4 linked regions of the Arabidopsis thaliana genome follow. The protein of the gene in region 3 interacts with the protein of the main gene of each other region in a pairwise test. Each region holds a gene or a part of one and is shown on either strand. Other genes may lie near its edges. The genes, in order: AT3G22550, ARSK1, RAPTOR1 and AT3G63210.

Evidence for each region.
Region 1: the proteins of RAPTOR1 (region 3) and AT3G22550 interact in a two-hybrid assay, tested with the Arabidopsis thaliana proteins (one large-scale study listed by BioGRID).
Region 2: the proteins of RAPTOR1 (region 3) and ARSK1 interact in a two-hybrid assay, tested with the Arabidopsis thaliana proteins (one large-scale study listed by BioGRID).
Region 4: the proteins of RAPTOR1 (region 3) and AT3G63210 interact in a two-hybrid assay, tested with the Arabidopsis thaliana proteins (one large-scale study listed by BioGRID).

Annotation. Positions count from the first base shown.
Region 1 is NC_003074.8:7,990,895-7,995,413, forward strand, and holds AT3G22550 (NAD(P)H-quinone oxidoreductase subunit, putative (DUF581)), read right to left. Parts: upstream 2,695-4,519; 5' UTR 2,069-2,694; intron 1,918-2,068; 5' UTR 1,912-1,917; coding exon 1,184-1,911; intron 1,009-1,183; coding exon 933-1,008; 3' UTR 509-932; downstream 1-508. UniProt on the Arabidopsis thaliana protein: May act as an adapter to facilitate the interaction of SnRK1 complex with effector proteins, conferring tissue- and stimulus-type specific differences in the SnRK1 regulation pathway.
Region 2 is NC_003071.7:11,191,420-11,196,385, forward strand, and holds ARSK1 (root-specific kinase 1), read right to left. Parts: upstream 3,013-4,966; 5' UTR 2,841-3,012; coding exon 2,430-2,840; intron 2,185-2,429; coding exon 2,049-2,184; intron 1,718-2,048; coding exon 1,581-1,717; intron 1,494-1,580; coding exon 1,370-1,493; intron 1,285-1,369; coding exon 818-1,284; 3' UTR 559-817; downstream 1-558. UniProt on the Arabidopsis thaliana protein: May play a role in the signal transduction pathway of osmotic stress. May be involved in plant defense signaling.
Region 3 is NC_003074.8:2,692,378-2,697,048, reverse strand, and holds the start of RAPTOR1 (Regulatory-associated protein of TOR 1), read left to right. Parts: upstream 1-1,648; 5' UTR 1,649-2,137; coding exon 2,138-2,446; intron 2,447-2,810; coding exon 2,811-2,913; intron 2,914-3,024; coding exon 3,025-3,107; intron 3,108-3,186; coding exon 3,187-3,345; intron 3,346-3,436; coding exon 3,437-3,553; intron 3,554-3,664; coding exon 3,665-3,822; intron 3,823-4,386; coding exon 4,387-4,541; intron 4,542-4,638; coding exon 4,639-4,671. Other genes in the region: PYD4 (PYRIMIDINE 4), read left to right, coding at 66-152, 252-295. UniProt on the Arabidopsis thaliana protein: Probable component of the plant TOR kinase pathway that recruits substrates for TOR. Modulates plant cell growth and regulates the activity of ATPK1 kinase in response to osmotic stress.
Region 4 is NC_003074.8:23,352,988-23,357,422, forward strand, and holds AT3G63210 (mediator of aba-regulated dormancy protein (DUF581)), read right to left. Parts: upstream 2,494-4,435; 5' UTR 1,920-2,493; coding exon 1,198-1,919; intron 1,118-1,197; coding exon of another isoform or gene 1,102-1,117; coding exon 1,032-1,101; coding exon of another isoform or gene 1,004-1,031; 3' UTR 527-1,003; downstream 1-526. Other genes in the region: AT3G63215 (uncharacterized protein), read left to right, coding at 1,004-1,117, 1,243-1,353. UniProt on the Arabidopsis thaliana protein: May act as an adapter to facilitate the interaction of SnRK1 complex with effector proteins, conferring tissue- and stimulus-type specific differences in the SnRK1 regulation pathway. Involved in seed dormancy control.

The sequences.
Region 1 (4,519 bases), 5.3 Mb from region 3:
AAATTTGTTTATAATTGGAGTGGTGAGGATCTTATACAAATTTTAATGGTTAACATAATGTACCTCACTAATTTATATCATTTTTTGGAAAAAATAATCAGAGTTTTTAATGTTGACAACGAAACGGTGTCAGTCATTCTTGTATAATTATTATCTCAAATAAAATTCAATGTGCTCATTTAAGATAGTCACTCAAGTAAGACATAAATTATTAGGATTTTGATGTATCAATTCAAATTAGATGAGGGCTATATAATAGTGTAATGCTCTTCGAAATAGTACTACAAGTTGTTTATATCACATTGTCTCTTAGATAAAGAAAAAACAAAAGAAGGATGTGAAAACACATAGAGCTTCTTGATCTATAACATCATTTCCACGTAACTAGCCATTGAATATCCTCAATGTGACATATCTTTGCAACTGTCTTTTACATTGTTCGATTGTCATTTCATTGTTTGTTATCTTCTTCATATCAAAACATAGTTACTTATAGTAAGAAAATCATACATGCATCTATAGCTCGGTGACTAGTTAGTAATCTAAGGAGATTTTCAAATCACGATTTCAAACATTGAAGACGAGAAATAGACTAATTTACATGTCCGAGTATCAAAACACGAAACTAAGAATTATGTGTCTTCTCCTTCTTGAATTTTGATGCTCGTGTTTTAGTTTTCTGTCTTGACACCGCAAATGGAATTGAGTTATTGTGATCTCTACTGTTTATTAAAGATTAAAAGTAACCATTAAAGTAAAACATGTATATATGATTATGCATGTAGACACATAATACACATAGATACCGATACCAAACTCTTCTCCAAACCAAAACAAAAGCAACTAAACAAAATTCACCATATCTAACGTTTTATTAATCATAGTCATTATCATAACTTTTTTTTTATATATAGCTCAAATAAAAACTTATTTCATTTAGTATCATTTTCCTCTGACATCATCATCTCTATGGACCTGCATTCACTGCTACAGAAAGCTCTATCTCCCCTGCAAATTAAAATCAAAACAAAAATTACTTATTTATTTATTTTTAAAAATTATTAATTAAAAAATTAAATTAATTAGCCATTCTAAATATTAATTTTCTCATAATTTATATTAAATTTCACATTGTAAATGTCACCATTTAATTGAAATGTAAAAATATGAAAATAAGCCAAACCTGTACATGAAAATGTCATCACGAGGCCCAAGACTCTTCTTACAGTTACAGCAACAACTGAGAAAACTGTCGGGTGGGGAATAATCCGAATCCGATTCATTAACCGGGTCGGAGCTCCGGAAGAAAACGACGCCGGGTTGGCTCTCAACGATACAGTTATCGAATATATGAATGGTTCTCGGGTTAGGCCCGTGACACGTCACGCATGTGTAATCCTCCGATAACTCCATATCGCTCGCCGGGAAATAGCCGGAGATGATTCTGGGAGACCCAAGACCCGACTCGGAACCCGGTTTCTTCGTCTCCGGTTGAGAATTCCTCGTTTTGATCCCGAAATCCGACGAGGAAATCGGAGAATCCGGGACCCGGATCCGAAGCTGAGACCCGAATAGAATTGTCCCGGATCTCGGTCCGGGTTCGGGTGTTTCGTCTTGGATTAGAGAATCGACAATGGCGAGTCCGATTCTTTTGGGTTCGAGTTTGAGACGGGTTTCGGGTTCTTGGGTTTTCGGGTTATCGGATCCAAATGGGTTTTTCAAAACAGAGAAAGGTTTGGTGTCGAGAATTGAAGTTGGACTCGCGACGGCGTCGTTTTCAGTGAAGCTTTTAAAGCTACTAAAAGCTGTGAAGAGCCTCGGAAACGGCGTCGTTTTACTCTGTTTCTGATTCTGACTCTGGTTTGTTTCCGCCATTAAAGCTTGCTTGCTTCTTGATCTCTTCTTTAGCATAATTCACTGCTCAATCACACACACACACAAAAAAGATCAAAACTTTATAACAATCAAAACTTTATAACAATTACACAAAAAGATCATAACATGTAACTCAATAACACATAAAAATCATAACTTTGTAACTCAATCATGCAAAATTGTGTGAACTAACCTGGAAGATCAGAAAGTTACAGGTTGTGGAAGTATGAGAGAAAATGAAGCTAATGCAATTCTGTTGCCTCCATGATTAGAGAAAAAAATATGAAAGTGTGACAAAAGAGAAAAGTAACTGAAAAGACGAGAGCTTTTTTTCTACAAAAATGTTATTTTTTTGTATAACTCCCGAGTTTCTCGCACTTTCTTCCTAAAATATTTTATTTATCAAGTGACATGAAACGTTACACTAGAGATTGGAGAAAAGAAGAAGAAACAAACAAAAGAAAGAAATTGATCCGTTTATTTGTTTTTGTTTGCTTTTGCTTTTTATAAATAATTTGGTTTTGTATGTTTAGTGGGTTATAGTTTCGATGAACTGAGAAAGAGAAAAGAAAACAAAACATCCCCACTGATTCTCTTCCATATCCTCAAAATTCGCCATGAAGTTTTTTCATAAGCAGAAGAAAACAGAGAGCACTAAAGAGACACACACTTAGCTTCTCTATCAAATAATAATACTTATATGAATCACATATATAGAGGGAGAGAGATTTACAATAGAAATCAGTGGGTGAAGAAAACCACTTCACCAGTGAAACTTCCTAAATTCGTTTTATTGTATAAATTATTATTGATTTTAGGAATTTTGTCTTTTTATTCTTTGCTGATTTATTATTTTGCTTTTTGGGTTATGCCAAGGAACCACTCACGTCGTTTTCTACTGACCCTTTCGTCTTTTTATTTTATTTTGGAATTTTCTTATAGTTTTCTTTCTATATTATTTTATTTGTTTATTTTAGAGAAAAGGAACTTTAGAAATTTAATGAGAAAGAAGTTGAATAATACTCGTGTTGTATATCGTACTAGTTACGACTAATCTATCAATGGAGGAGTACTAATGTACTATCACAAATATTGAAATATATGTGATTTATTTTAAGTATTATAGTATTATATAACTTTTCGTATTTTGATTAGAAATTCACATTATAGTGTACTAAAACGTTTTCAAAACAGAAGTTTGCAAAGTTGTTTACGTCTTGCATGTCATTTAATATAGAAGAAAAATGTACTTCTCACTTGCATATGGTGATTAAGTAAATTGTCTATTACTGTTAGGTGATAACATTACATATTTAAAAGGTGTGAATAAGAAAGATATTGAAGAAGACTGTTTTGGAGATGGAAATGTAGAAACAAAATATATTATTCTACTTCATTTTCATCTAAAATTATAGATGGGATATGAAAGACAGAAAGAGATCCTTTGCTAGTAAAATAATGTCACATATGTATATGGATTTATCGATCATATCTTCTTATCGTGACTATAAGTATAACTTTATCCATCAAAAATTTCTCTTAACCGCAGTTTCTTCAACGGGAGTAACTCATATAAACACGAACTAAGCTAGTTTCTTCAACGGGAGACAAATAGAGATGATGAATACGAGAACTTTTGGTTCTCTTTTAAAATCATTATTTCATATATACTTTTTCTCGTGTAATGATGTTAAGGTACGTTGTGGTGGTGATGATGACTATATTGTTAGCATGGGAGCTAAGTGTGGGTGGACTCGGTCGCTCAGAATCGTAATGGAATGAGATACGATCATACGTACGAATATATTTCACAATCTTAACTGAATATCTCTTTTGCTTTCGTAGCTGGCTAGTCTCTTTGGGTGGACATTACACACTTGTTATATTATATATGTATAACACGAAAAAAATATCACTACTTAAAACCAAAACTAGTGATAAATTCGTATGAGCAAACTTGATAATCATTACTTTAAACAAACACTATTAATTGCTACTACATACTCTATGGTCCATAAAGTTTAATGTTTTAGGTTTTATTCTTGTTCCATAAAAATTGACTAAATTTTAACCCGCGGTATACCGCGGGACGATTTATTTTTTAAAAGTAATATATATTAAAATTTGCAAATTTTATTTTTATAAAATATTTATATTTTACAGTTTATAATTGTTATTAAGTAAGGCTATAACACGAATCTATGAGACAATTGTTGAAAAACTAAAGTTGTAACCCCTATTAAAACAGCATATTAATAATATTTTAAAATTTTATAAATATTGATTCAAATACATCCACCATATAACCCAATTACAAAATAAAACTCGTTCTATAATTTCTTTACCCGTCCCGTGATTTTTTTTTTAAAGTAGTAATTTTTAAAATTTAAGAATATAAAAGTTTTGCAAATTATATCATTCTCTAATACATTTATATTTTATATATAGTAACATTATACATACCCCATAACATTTTTGGTTTTATATAATCTTTTCTAAATTAGGATGATTTGATATGTTTAATATTAGTGGTCTTAAAAAATAATAAATTAAAGATTTAACCCGTATTGAAACGGTATATTAATTATATTTAACTTTTTTTATTAATGTTGATTCAAAAACCCGTCACTCCAAATCCGTCTTG
Region 2 (4,966 bases), on a different chromosome or scaffold from region 3:
CAACATTTATTTATTAACTACTAATGACACTTAATCCTTATCACTAAGGGTTTTAATTGTAAATTTTTGGGCTTTGATTACTTGCTTTTATTAGGTTAACTATTTCCTTTCAACTAATTTTTTTTTTTAATAAGATTTCTCTATATATTTTGAATATCCTGAATTAGCTTATTATTTTAAAAATCTAATTAAAGTTTATACAATTATATTTATATTTAGGAAAAATAATCTTCAAACTGATTGTTATTGTTAATTTGCTTTGAATTTAAGTCATCTAGGGAAAAAAGTATACTTATTGTTGATATAGATAAAATAAATATAAAAATTTAATAATTTATTACATTTATACAGCATTCTGAAACTCAAATATACCCAAACGGTTTCATATGTAATCTTGAAAACGAGAGTGCTCCGAGGAGCTCATAATTTCATTGGAATCACCAAGAATAATCTAGGGGTAGCTGCCGTACCATACATGATTTGATTTTATTGCAATTCCAATCTCCATAATAACCAACCAAGTGATCATCTACTATGTTTTAAAGAGCGAAATAACTTCAACGTTGTCCGCCCAACAAACTGGTGTATATATATATGATTTACAAACATTTATTTTATATTTCTTGTACATGACTCTTTTGTACAAAGTATTTTTGAATTATGTAAAGGAAATTAATCTAAAATACCAGAGAACTAGGATACTTATAACATCACCTTTCTTTCCTTCAAATTTTTGGAAGAATGGTCATAACTTAAGATAAGAATTGCGTTCATAGAATATGAATGCTTAATAATTCATATGAGAAAATGATGTATTTCAAATGCCATCGTTTTGCTTTGCCTTGGATTCCTTGTAAACGAGAGAATCTGAATAAGCGATGTTCACACGTCTTTTGCCTTTACGGTGATGCCTAAACTTATTTATATCAACAAACTTCTTTCCTTCTTTGTTGTTATTGCCATCATGCTTCCTAATATCAACTTCTTGGATAGACTCTAAGACCTTAACCACCTCACACATTGTAGGTCTATACTTAGGATGTTGGCTTAGACACTTGTATGCTAGGGAAGCAGCTACCTGAGCCGCTTCTGTTTTGTGCTGGTTCGCGAGCCTCGGGTCAATTATCCTCTCTAACTTTCTTTGGTCCCTTAACATAGGCCGCGCCCATTCCACTAGGCTTTGTTCCCTCCGTGTTCGGGTATTGTCCATTGACCGTTTTCCGGTTATCAGCTCTAACAAAACTACTCCAAAACTGTATACATCATTCATCGTCGTCAAATGACCTACAACACATGTAAACCATTAAAGACATATCTCAAAGAATATCGCTTCACGGTAAAAGAAATAAATTCCTTACAAAAATGTTACCAGTCATGATATATTCGGGCGCAGCATAACCTTGTGTTCCCATCACTCGGGTAGTTACATGCGTATGTTCGCCTTCAGGTCCATCTTTGGCTAGACCGAAGTCAGATAATTTGGCGTTATAGTCCTGAAATATCAAAGAGTCAGTTGAGAAATACCACTTTAATTTGATTTAATAGTGGATACAAAATTTAAAAAGGAAAAAAAAACTCACGGAGTCTAACAATATGTTAGAGGTTTTAAAGTCTCTGTAGATGACAGGTTTCTCTGCTTCATGGAGAAAAGCTAAACCTTTGGCGGCTCCGAGAGCTATCTTCATCCTTATTCCCCAAGCCATTGCTAAGCTATTTCCTGTCCCAATTCACACACTTTTCAAAGTTAGTAATACTATTGAATATTATCTAAATTATAAAAAATATATAGTTTTTTAAGAAGTTATTAATGTAGTGTACGACCCATAAATAAAGTAAGAACTTGACGAAGTTAACGTGAACCATATGGATTCTTTTCTTCAATATTTTTTATTCTTGTCATTCTATAACTAAAACGTAATTAAAGTCTTCGTGGAGTTGTTCTTTTAGGTTTAAACAGAAAAAATGTTTTGTAACGCGGTCTAGAACATATATAGCAAAAATTGAAACAACTTTTAGCAAGTTAGGTAAAAATATAGTAGATGACGTACTTCGAAAGAGCTGATTCTCCAAGCTACCTCGAGGCATGTACTCATAAACAAGAACTCTTTGCTCTTCTTCACAACAAAACCCTATCAGCTTCACAAGATGTTTGTTACTTAGTTGTCCCAAAAATAATATCTCCGCCTGCAAACAAAAATAAATTTTGTATACACTGAAAAAAAAAACTTTATGAAGAAATTTCACAAAAGATATATATATTTAATAACATACTGAAAAATGGCCAGATTCATATAGCTAATTAAGAAGATAAACCAAAATTCAAAAAATATATAAAATAATCGAGACGGTCTTCGTAATTAAATTGTTCCTTGTGAATAGAAAAGTCTTGAATGTAGACAAAAACATACATAAAGAGAAAGAAATGTTACCAGCCATTCTCTATGGCCTTGATGGCCATGAAGATCAAGAGCCTTTACAGCAACCGGTTGGGCTTCGATACCCGGTTTAACCTTATCATCAATAAACCCTTTGTAAACCGGCCCAAACCCTCCTTCCCCCAACATGTTACTTCTAGAGAAATTATGCGTAATCACTCTCAGCTCAGACAACGTGAACAAACGAAGCTTCTGCGATGTGAAGGAGTGAGAGAGATCATCCATAACCGACATGGGCGAGCTTGGATCGCTTATGTCCGATAAAGACAGCCTCTTGAACGCTGGACAAGTTCTTATTTTCATTACAGCCTTCTCCCCTCCTTCGTATTTGCTTGCGTTCTTTGCCTTGTAACACCCCAAGAACAGAGATGTCAATGATGTTTTCTTCTTCTTGAACACTGCCATTTTCAACTTCTTCTTTTGTGTTATTTGGGGAAAAAATGGAGAAAGTTAGTCTTTTACTCCTTTTGATGAATCTTTTGTAGAGTGCGTAGGTTTAGAAATTAAGGATGTTCTAGTTAACCTACTTGTCTTCAAAGTCCTCTAATTTATAGTAGTTGTTGTGTCTTATTCGTACTGACCGACCTTTGAGTTTTCAAATTTATTTATATATACAAAAAGTTTGCTTTTTTTTTTTTGTATTAGTTGTATAAAAATGTTGAAGTTATTTTTGGTGGATATATTTATATTGTTCTAAGCTCTATGCTGATATTTTTTTCAGGAGAAACACGATTCCATGTTCACATTAATCCTCACAATAATATTGAAAAATAACGCAAGTTGTTTTCTTTTTCTAATCACAATATAATCAATATTATTGATTATAAATTCATTCAGTTGTTTGTACTTAGACTTCATCTCACCAAAGTCTACGGGCTATATAATTTTGCTTATATATTCAATGAATTGAAAATTGTCTCTCGCTCTACATTCCAAATACGATCTCTCGTTTCATTATAGACTTAGTTCTGTCTAATAGTTTTTGTTGTAATAATTTAGGTAATTTAAAAATGATTTTGTGAATTTAATGGTGTCTCTCTATATTCCACTATCTCGATTTCTAGTTTCATAAGACTAATTAGTTATTTACTAATAGTTTTTGTTCTAATAATTTAGGCAATTAATTTAAAAATGATTTGGTATACATTTCAGGCTGGCAAATAAATATTACGTATAAAGAAGATTTGATTCGCCTTGTTGAAAGGAGAATGAGATGATTAGGCCATAATTGGATGTCCGTTGACTTTGTTTCTTCCATGATTAAAATTTAAGAAGTAAGGAAGAGAAACAAATTTGAACCATTGATTTTGTTACTCTTAACTAAATAATCATTTATTCAATAACTAAAGGTCGGTTGGTCTTCAGGTACGAACGTTCTTCTATACTAACTTGTAAATTGTAAACGTAACAGATTGTGCAGTAGAGATTGCGGTTACAAATGTTTGACAACGATCACAAAAATTGTTTAACACCGCGTATTCTTCCGCCAACGTTTGCGGCAGCGGGTGGTTAAAAATTACACTATTTTTAAGTTTTAAATTCAAATAAATTTAATAACTTTTTTGACTCTTGGAGTCATGCTCTGAACACAAATGATTCATTTTCCGGAGAACATAAGTGCATTGTATCCGTCTAATCGTCCCAACATACTTCACTATAAATGTAATTTAATACTAACAATTAAATTGAAGTGTTGTTCGTCGCATGCATGTATGTACGTACAATAATTATATAGTTTCATTATCATAGAACTGTCGGGGAAATTGTGAATCATCACCAGCCGCCACATGAACTTATTTGCCGTTGTTCTGGTTTAAGGCTGGTAAGATTTATTCGGCGGCTGTAGGCCTGTAGCCCTTGAAATATGGTAGACAAGATCGTCCATATAATTAAGATTTTGTTTTTCACTTCTAAATTAATTAATGGGTGACTTGGGCGATTTTGTATTGTTGTTTAGTGGCTAGAAAGAAAACTTTTAACGATAAATTTACTTATGCAAAAATTATATTAGTTTAGTTTAGCAACTTTATATGTACTTAATTAGTAAAATAATACATTTAAATGTAAACTATTTGTACATATTAATGTTGTCCAAACAATATGCACTTTTTGAATTTTTTTACTGTATTCTCCACCTAGTTTTTCTAATTCATCCAAGCATTTTGATGAATTTGCATGTCTCCATAGATGAATTAGTATCTACTATCTCTAAAAACTCAATCTCCACCGAAGATATTGCTTAACCAATGTGCTCCTAGACCAAATCCAAAACCTTAGCCGCTTCATACTTAACATCCACTTTTGTAGCATCCTCAAACTGTTTTACAACCTTTTCAACCGGGACACAATCGCCTTGTCTTAGTAGTGAAGCGTAGGTTAATCATGGATGATGATTTTTGTTCTTTGACAACATCTGGTAAGGTTTTTGGTTTATGGCTCACCCTTTTTACTTTTTCGGTCTTTCTTATATAGTGTTTTGGTGGGTTTTTTCTCGTTCATTTTTCACGACCTTCTTATCCTATTACTAGGGT
Region 3 (4,671 bases):
TCATCATATAAAGTTGATACTTATGCATTTAAGATAGTGTTTAATACAAATCTTTTGGTATCAAGAAATGGGAGTGTTGGTGGGGAAAGGTGGATTCTATGGGAATGTCTTCAGAATCACTCCTCCTCTCTGCTTCACCCTCTCCGACGCTGGTTAGCTCCTTAGTTTAACATATATATCTTCAAATTGGTTTCTTTTTGTTTCATTTTTTTATTCATGATTTATGTTGTTTCAAATCTTGTATTTTGTAGATTTCCTCGTGGATGTGATGGATCACGCCATGTCCAAGATGTGATTTACTATCTTTATCCGTTCTCTAATGATCACTCACCCTTGTATGTGTATATAAATAACACAATACATCATAAAGTAGAATTACAATTGGTGTTTACCGAAATATATCACAGATGCAAGTATATGTAACTAAATGTACAGTACTGTATACACTTGATAGAATCTACAAATAAATAAAAAACTCGCTGCTAATGATATTCCACAAATACATATATTGATCCGAAGTTTCGAGTTTAGAGTAAAACTTGAATGATACACCTGTGGGGCAAAACAGTTGGTCATCAAAGACGAGGAAGTGGTAGAAATGGCGGCGCCGCGGCGGAGTAGGAAAACGATGTCCGGAGAGCTGTCCTGATCGCGGAAACGAGACTCGTCAGCACGAATATAAGTTCTTCAAGTATGCATAGTGTCTTTCTTATCATCGAATCTTCTTGTTTTCTCGATGCGAGATTCCCAAGTGAGAGAGAGGGAGTTGTGATATTTTTCTGCTGACTTTTAGATATATATGGCCTTTGATAATGTTATTCAGACAAACAAAGTGTCAGCTTGATGTTTGTGTCCAAAATTGATAATATAATGGAATAATTGCAAAACGGAACCTGAAGTTTTGATTAACATGGAATTTGAACCCAATATTTTTTCCCTACACCAAATTTTTAGTTTTTCGGTTTTCATTTTTTTACCAACTACAATAAACCCTAGATGAATTCGGTTTAGAAGACCAGACATTGCTATGTAAGAGTAGAAAAACCGTTGGTGTTTAGATTACACTAATTTAAACGTTATAACACAAAACTGATTAAAACATAAATATACTTATGAAGCGTGTGCAATGATGATCCCTTCATGTACCCCGTTGTACGGAATCCTAGAGGTGATTCGAAGAATTTATGGTAACTCACGTAACAAAGTGTCAGCTAAGTAATTTATGGTTACGAAAATACAATTGTCTCGTTTAAAAAAAAATTAATATAGTTTTAAAAAATCTAATATCGTTTTTAAATTTAATATCATTTCTCTGTTACTAGTTTAGTAGCTTGAATTTTTGTTTTCGTAATTAAACTAGACTGATTTTTTAAATTTAGATTTAGACCGTGATTAGAATAAAAGTGAGTTTTAAGTTGCATTTTAATCAAAGAATCAGATTGAATTTGCGATTAACTTCTCAGTTAATTAGTCGATCCATTGATGGTGTTCTTTGAATTTGTTTCTCAATGATGCATACAAAATTTCAATTTCCACATTTTAAACATAAATTAATTTTAAAATTATAGATATTTAGTATACCTCTCAATCTTATAATATTAGTATTTAATAACATTGCATTAAAGTTAGTAATTAATTAGAGTGGATTTTTGATCTGAAGAGGGTAAAACTAAAAACGGAAAGGAGAAAAAGAATGAAAGAGAAGTGGAAAGAAAACGCAAATGCATTGAAGACTTTCCCTTTGTCTCTCTCTTTGACAAAATCCCAATTTTCGCATCCTCACTTTCTCCTCTGCCTTTTTTTTTTCTCTTCTGCCGCCACCACCACCACCACTGTTAATTCGCCGCCGCTTCCACATCAATCGCCGTCGTAGCCAATCATCATCGTTCTTCATCCTCCGCTTCTCCTGATTCTTAGGGTTTCCGCTTCCGCTTCTCTGTCGAGGGTTTTTCGAGCTGGATTCTCTGCTCCTGCGCCGCTGGTGCAGCGGCTTTGTTGATTGATCTGGATTTCTCCGTCTTCCTTTCTATTTTATTTTCTGTATCTCGCACAATCCAAACAAAAAAGCTAGGGCTGAGGATTTGATTTGCGTGATTTCTGGGGGTGTGTTAATTCGGGGGTGTGTTCTCCGATTTGGATGGCATTAGGAGACTTAATGGTGTCTCGGTTCTCGCAATCTTCTGTTTCTTTGGTCTCCAATCACCGTTACGACGAAGACTGTGTCTCTAGTCACGATGACGGTGATTCCCGGAGGAAGGATTCTGAGGCTAAGAGCAGTAGTAGCTACGGGAATGGTACAACGGAGGGAGCCGCCACCGCCACCAGCATGGCTTACTTGCCTCAGACTATTGTGCTCTGCGAGCTTAGACACGACGCATCCGAGGCTTCTGCTCCCTTGGGGACTTCTGAGATCGTATTGGTCCCCAAATGGCGGCTTAAAGAACGAGTAAGTTTTCAATCGAACATTGTTGGTAGCTGCAAGTATGTTAGACTAGCTTGTTTAGTGCAACTGACGATGTAAGAGGCGGGTAGAACAACTACATTTTCTAGAATTCATTATAAAATCTGCTATTGTTCGCTACTATGTTAGGTAATGTTAACCGAGGAGGGTTGTGTACTTGTGTTAACGTTTTTATTGTGGAGCTGAACCTTAAAGATACATGTTTCCGTTTCGTTTCAATCTCAATGTCTCTTCAGAAATAATTCTATTTCTCGTCGGAAGCTAAATCAGGTGTTCATTGGATCTGATAGCTAGGGGAGTTCTTGCAAGTCTCATATTCTTTGTTAACTTTTCTTCTTCTTCTTTGCAGATGAAAACAGGATGTGTAGCTTTAGTTCTGTGTTTAAACATTACTGTTGATCCGCCGGATGTTATAAAGATATCTCCTTGTGCTAGAATCGAGGCATGGATAGGTTGAAACTTTGGCCTACTCAATCCTATTACACTCTTTCTTTTCTGTGTTTATCCCTTTTTTTTGTCGCCACAGTCAATTTTATCTCTATTTTTTTTCTTTCTGATGGCAGATCCATTTTCTATGGCACCGCCTAAAGCTCTCGAGACAATTGGAAAAAATTTGAGCACTCAGTATGAGAGATGGCAACCCAGGGTGACAATTTTTTTCCCTGCACCCTATCATTATTGTTTTGTTAAGTTACGCTTTTCTTATTTATTTTATGATTTCTCAGGCCCGCTATAAGGTTCAGCTTGATCCGACAGTAGATGAGGTGAGGAAGCTGTGCTTGACTTGTCGGAAATATGCAAAGACCGAGAGAGTTCTATTCCATTATAATGGGCATGGTGTGCCAAAACCTACAGCTAATGGTGAAATTTGGGTATTTAACAAGGTCTGTTTTTTACTAGCGTTTTCTTTTCTCTACCATGTTCTTGTTCCTTCTCGTCTGTTACCACGAGCTGATTGATTCTCTGTTTGAGCAGAGTTATACACAGTACATTCCCTTGCCAATCAGTGAACTTGATTCCTGGTTGAAGACACCCTCCATCTATGTTTTCGACTGCTCTGCTGCTAGGATGATTCTGAATGCCTTTGCTGAGGTAAAGGAAACAACCACTTCACTTATAGAACACATCTCCTGTCGAGTTTAGGACTCGAGTCTGTAATTTTCGTTCCATAAGTTGATAAAATTCATATACTCTTTACGCCAGCTTCATGATTGGGGTTCTTCTGGTTCCTCTGGATCCTCAAGGGACTGCATTCTACTTGCTGCTTGTGATGTACATGAGACACTTCCTCAGAGCGTTGAGTTTCCAGCTGATGTTTTTACGTCTTGCCTGACAACGCCCATTAAAATGGCGTTGAAATGGTAAATCATCATTCCATCTCTGACTTTTTTTGCGTACTCAGATGTCATGTTTTCTTCCTACAAAATGTAGTTTAAGTTCCGTCTAGCTAAGTTTATAAAATCTTAGCTAGTATGTTCTCGCTTCATCATGAGGTAAGATCAAAACTTTTCGGCAGCATTTTGGATGGGACCAAAGATGGATCATAGAGTTTTGTTTAGAAGACCTTGTGCGTATGTTTTAGTTTTGTGGGGTGGTAAAACAGCATATCATAAGAGTTGTGAGATAACCAGGACTGATAATACCTTTAGCTGCCAAGTCACTTTGCATATGGAAGTTTGCTGATGTATGGTTTGCAATAATTCTTTCTGTCCTGGCTAAGTATTTTTGATGATACCAAAAGATTCACGATATCATCCTGATTGATAGCCTTCTCCTTCTGTGATATTTATTCTATAACTAATTGCTACTGAGTCTGTGCGGTTTCAATTCTGGGCTTCTTTTTAACCTTTTTCCAGTAAACAGATCACCATTTTATGTAGTTCAGTTTAGCTTGCAGCTTTTTCACAAGAGGATTTCCATTGCAGGTTCTGCAGGCGTTCGCTTCTGAAAGAAATTATCGATGAATCACTTATCGACAGGATTCCAGGCCGGCAAAACGATCGTAAGACATTGTTAGGGGAGTTGAACTGGATTTTCACAGCAGTGACGGATACAATTGCTTGGAATGTGCTTCCTCATGGTACTTCTCCAAACTTTCTGCATAATTTATCAAGGGTAAATCTTCTTCAAGTTGACTTCTTTTCTGTGTCCTCATGAATGATAGTTTTACCCTGCAGAACTTTTCCAGAGATTATTCAGACAGGACTTGT
Region 4 (4,435 bases), about 21 Mb from region 3:
ATCTCCTATATGGCTATATCTAGTATATACGACCTTCCTCTCATTAGTCTTAACATCTACTCCAACATCCATGTTGCATATATTAAGGTACTGGCTGATTCGAATAATAAACTTAAACATGATACTGACACAACTTCACACTTTGTTTTTACAATTAAATGGTTCCGTGAGATTGGGCCTTCTAGCTGCTCTGATATTAAATTTACGAGTCTATTCCAAAAAAAAAAAAGTGATGAGGGTCCTCAACATTTAGTTATCTGTCTTGCAAATTGGGCACGCCACCGAGACATGCAATCATCCCTGGGACTCTAACCTCATTACTTGCGGACCCTATTAGAAACGGCCCATATCTGGCCCGTATTATTAGGGACCGGCCTAATTATGCATGATATAGCCCATCGATATTTAACCACTCAAAATCCCCTCCCCTGCATCTATGGTTTGATCTGGTTTGGTTTGATTGCGATTAGAGTTATTATATACTTACTTGTAAACACCAAATCAGACTCATTTCACAGGATAAAAACACGAGTTCAATGGCTTCCCAGAAACCTTTCTCGACTGAAAAATGAGTCTGAGTTCAGAATCTGAGGTAAACGGTAACAAAACTTGATATATTGTTGTAACTTGGCGCTGTCAAAGTTAACAAAATTAAATCAAAAAGCAAATGGCCTTATAGCAATAACATTTTCCCTCTACAAGACCGCATAGAGCCACGACGAATGTTAGGTTATGGAAAAGACTGATGCTTTTGATATTTTCTGATTCAGATGGCAGTATTCTGCAAGTTTATGATATTATTGAGCCCTCCGAGTCACTCACTCTCATGACACAAAGAAAAAAGTTATCAACTCTCTCTCTATCTTTCACATATCTGCAGGCGAGAAAGGTTATGACTAGAAATACAAATACCCCCACCCAAAAAAAGAAAGAAAGAGAAGAAGCATCAGAGAACTAAAAGAATAATACAAAAGTAGATGATGCTGTGACAAAATCAATAAAAATGAAAAGAGATGGAGAAGGAGTGCTAGCTAGGTCTCCATTTGATCAAGAAGCATCTCCTGGTACCTGCACTCGCTGCTGCAAAAACCTTTCTCTCCCCTGCACCACAACCATTGTGATTAAGTTTAGTTTTGGAACCACTCTATGATCTGATTAAAGTCAAATACATAGATAAAAGATTGTGGAGGTACGAACCTGTATATGTAGATGTCCTGTTTCTGGTCAAGATTCTTCTTGCAGGTGAAGCAACGGCTTAGAAAACTCTCGGTGCTCTTGGTCTCCATGGCTGGTTGGGGTAAAGGAACAGAGCAAGGAGTAGCCTCCACGAAAACAGAGTTGTCGAAGATATGAGTGATGGTTGGGTTAGGACCGTGAGAGATGACGCGCGTGTAGTCCTCCGTCTGGTCAATCTCGCTCACTGCTAAGACCTTCGTTTGGACACAAGGACTAAGTTGACAAGGAGGATATCTGATGCCGGTTTTAGTTCCAAAATCAGCTGATGATGGGATCTGGACTCTGAGCTTTGACCCGAAAAGGACCATCTTGTTGACAGGTTTTCTAGAGTGGTCTCTGTTACTGTCTCCGTCTTTCACGAGATCGGCTAGGCCAAAGACGTCTGGAGAGTGAAAACGCTGGGGATTAGGGATAGTTGGCTCGAAATAGGAAACGGGTTTAGGGTTTTTGGAGGAGAAGATGGATGGGTTAGCTTCGAGTATAGACGTAGGGCTAACGAGTGAGAAATCAGAGTCAAAGGGAGTCATCATCATCTTAGAAGTGAAAAACCTAAACTTGGGAGAGCTAAAGAGAGATGGTGAGCAGTGGCAAGTGTTAGGCTTTGGAGGTGGAGGTTGATCAGCCATTAACAGAGATGTTTGTTTCTTAGTCGTCACGGCTGCTCTAGGTTTGTTTCTAAGCATAGTTAAAGACCGGTGAGGGTAAGGATCATAACTCAGTAGCTTCCATGGAGAGAGGAAAGCAATGAGTCTGCGTAAGAGAAAATATCTAAAATGAAAGAGAAGAAGAATAGAGAGAATTTGGTACAATTATTGAGAAACTCTGACTGCTTCTGGTATTAATGGGGTCTCTCACTCCTATGAAATGATGATCCTCTCCTCACTCGCAAAAATCAGATTAAAAGTTGCTTTCACTTATCTCTTTCCTCTCTTCTTTATTCCTTCCAAAGAGCGAGAGAGAGAGAGTGATCTCGAGAGACGGGACGTTGTAGATTTAACCAAGAAATGCATGCAACTTTACGGATTTACCCCTTACATTTATTAACACATAGAGATCTCAATTATTTTCGATCCATTATTCATATTAGGGACCGGATATGATTGAATGTGTATCGTACTCTCTTTTTTTTGTCGTCGTGTATTTTAACAACAACATACTACATTTTGGGTCGACGATAAAAGATTGGAAACATCTTTTGCAAGATTATCGAATTTGTACTCTCTCTTTATTTTTGTTGCATGTACAAACTTTTATTTAGTTTATTAGGTATACACTTGAACGGCGATACATTCATTATTTGTGCATTGATGTTTGGGCCTCTGAAACACAGGCTCTCCTTTTATTTTATACTACTATTTTTCATTTTTGTAAAAAAAACTGTGAGTTATTTATTTCTTACAATTTGTATCCATTATTATATAATACGGCATTTTGTCATTATTTCGTTTGTCTTTCTCAAATCATAATTCACTTTCATTTGGGTTTCTTGTTTTATTAATCAAAGAATCAGTGACGTTATTTAAAAATGTAGGAACAATAATCAGTGAATAATGTACATGTTAATCTATACTACTAAATATTTTATAAACAGTTTGTGGATAAAAAACAAATGTAATCAGAGGGGGGTCCACAGTTGCACCTGCTTTGCTTAATCCAATAATTAAGTTCTAGATAAGCGCCACGTGTGTTTGTCTACTAGTAAACGTTTGATTGAATGGTCTTGATGCGTTTTACTCCATTACAAGACAAATTATATAATAATAATCACTTATTTGACCCAAAAAGTTATATAACTCGTCGAACCACTTTTATTGTTGTTGATCTTGTTTTTCTCGAATCCCATCTAACTATCGCATTTTCATTGTTTAAGCTCGTCAACTTCTGATTCATACCAAGATTCAAGAAAAAACAAAAAGAGTTTCAAGTTGCAAGATTATGTATAATCATAACTTCACTTACAAATAATCAACGCAAAAGAAAACATAAATATTACTTGGTAGCCTAGTAGGGAAAGAAAAGTAACGTATTCGGATATAATACGATAGAGGAAGGAATTAGTGATAGACCCACGGTGGGGCTAAAAGGATGTGGACAGGAGTGTGTAGGTCCTCTCCTCCTCCTCCTCTACGGTTTTCGCTATTTCTATGACGTTGTGATCATATTGGCCTTTTCTTCTCCCCCTGTCGATTCAAGCTTTTATTTTCTATGTTTTGTTTAGCCAAGGAAATTTTGTGTATTTGTGTCTTGTTTTCATGCCTCAAGGTCTCTTCTTGCCTCAATTGGGTTTCTCTTTTTTTTTTTTTTTTTCTTTCGGATAAATCTAATTTTGTGAATATCCATCTGATTAATTTTCTTACAAATAAGAAGAAACAAATAGCGACTACTCATCCATATATGCCATTGAATGTGCTATTTCTTTTTAATGTAATGAGTGTGTCCATCGATTCCGTAATTGTGTTTGTAACCCATTCAGTCTAACAACTTTGATCCCTTAATCACTACGACTACTACCAGAAGCATACGTATATGTTTTGACTCCCAATCCATAGACGTGACTCTTGATAGATTGATTTCCTTCTAAACCACCTGACGTAGAGGTTATAAAATATAATTGGAGTGGAATCAGCACTAATCATTCATTTGATTCGATACTGAAATTTTTATATTTCTTTCCATTTCATGATTTCTTTGATGACTCGCCATCTTTAATCATGGTTATTATTAATTCGAAAGTGGCACCGATATATTGTGTTTATCAAGGATATAGTCATATCACCCTAATTACCAAAGATAAAGAAAGCAAATGAGCAAGATAATGAGAGGTCCATTTTCTTAAATCATTGCTTCTTTGTCAACATGTCTTAAATCCGAATCATTACTCTTATACACTACAAAATACTCCTTAGAGCTTGAATACCACAATTTTGTTTTTCTGTTCAATGACCAAATATCTCCATGTTCAAACCCATATTGCTCTTTCAGATTGTTTAAGGCCCAACACAAAATAACTTATGCAACCTGTCCAAACCCAACCTGATATCATTCCCACATATAGCCCAATCAATAGACCTATTTTTTTTTTTTTTTTTTCACCAGACTCATAAATGATATTTTCTCAAGACATAAATCTGCTATTCGTTTATAGACAATAACCAGGCTTTGATGACATTTTCTCAAGACATAGCTGCTATTCGTTTAT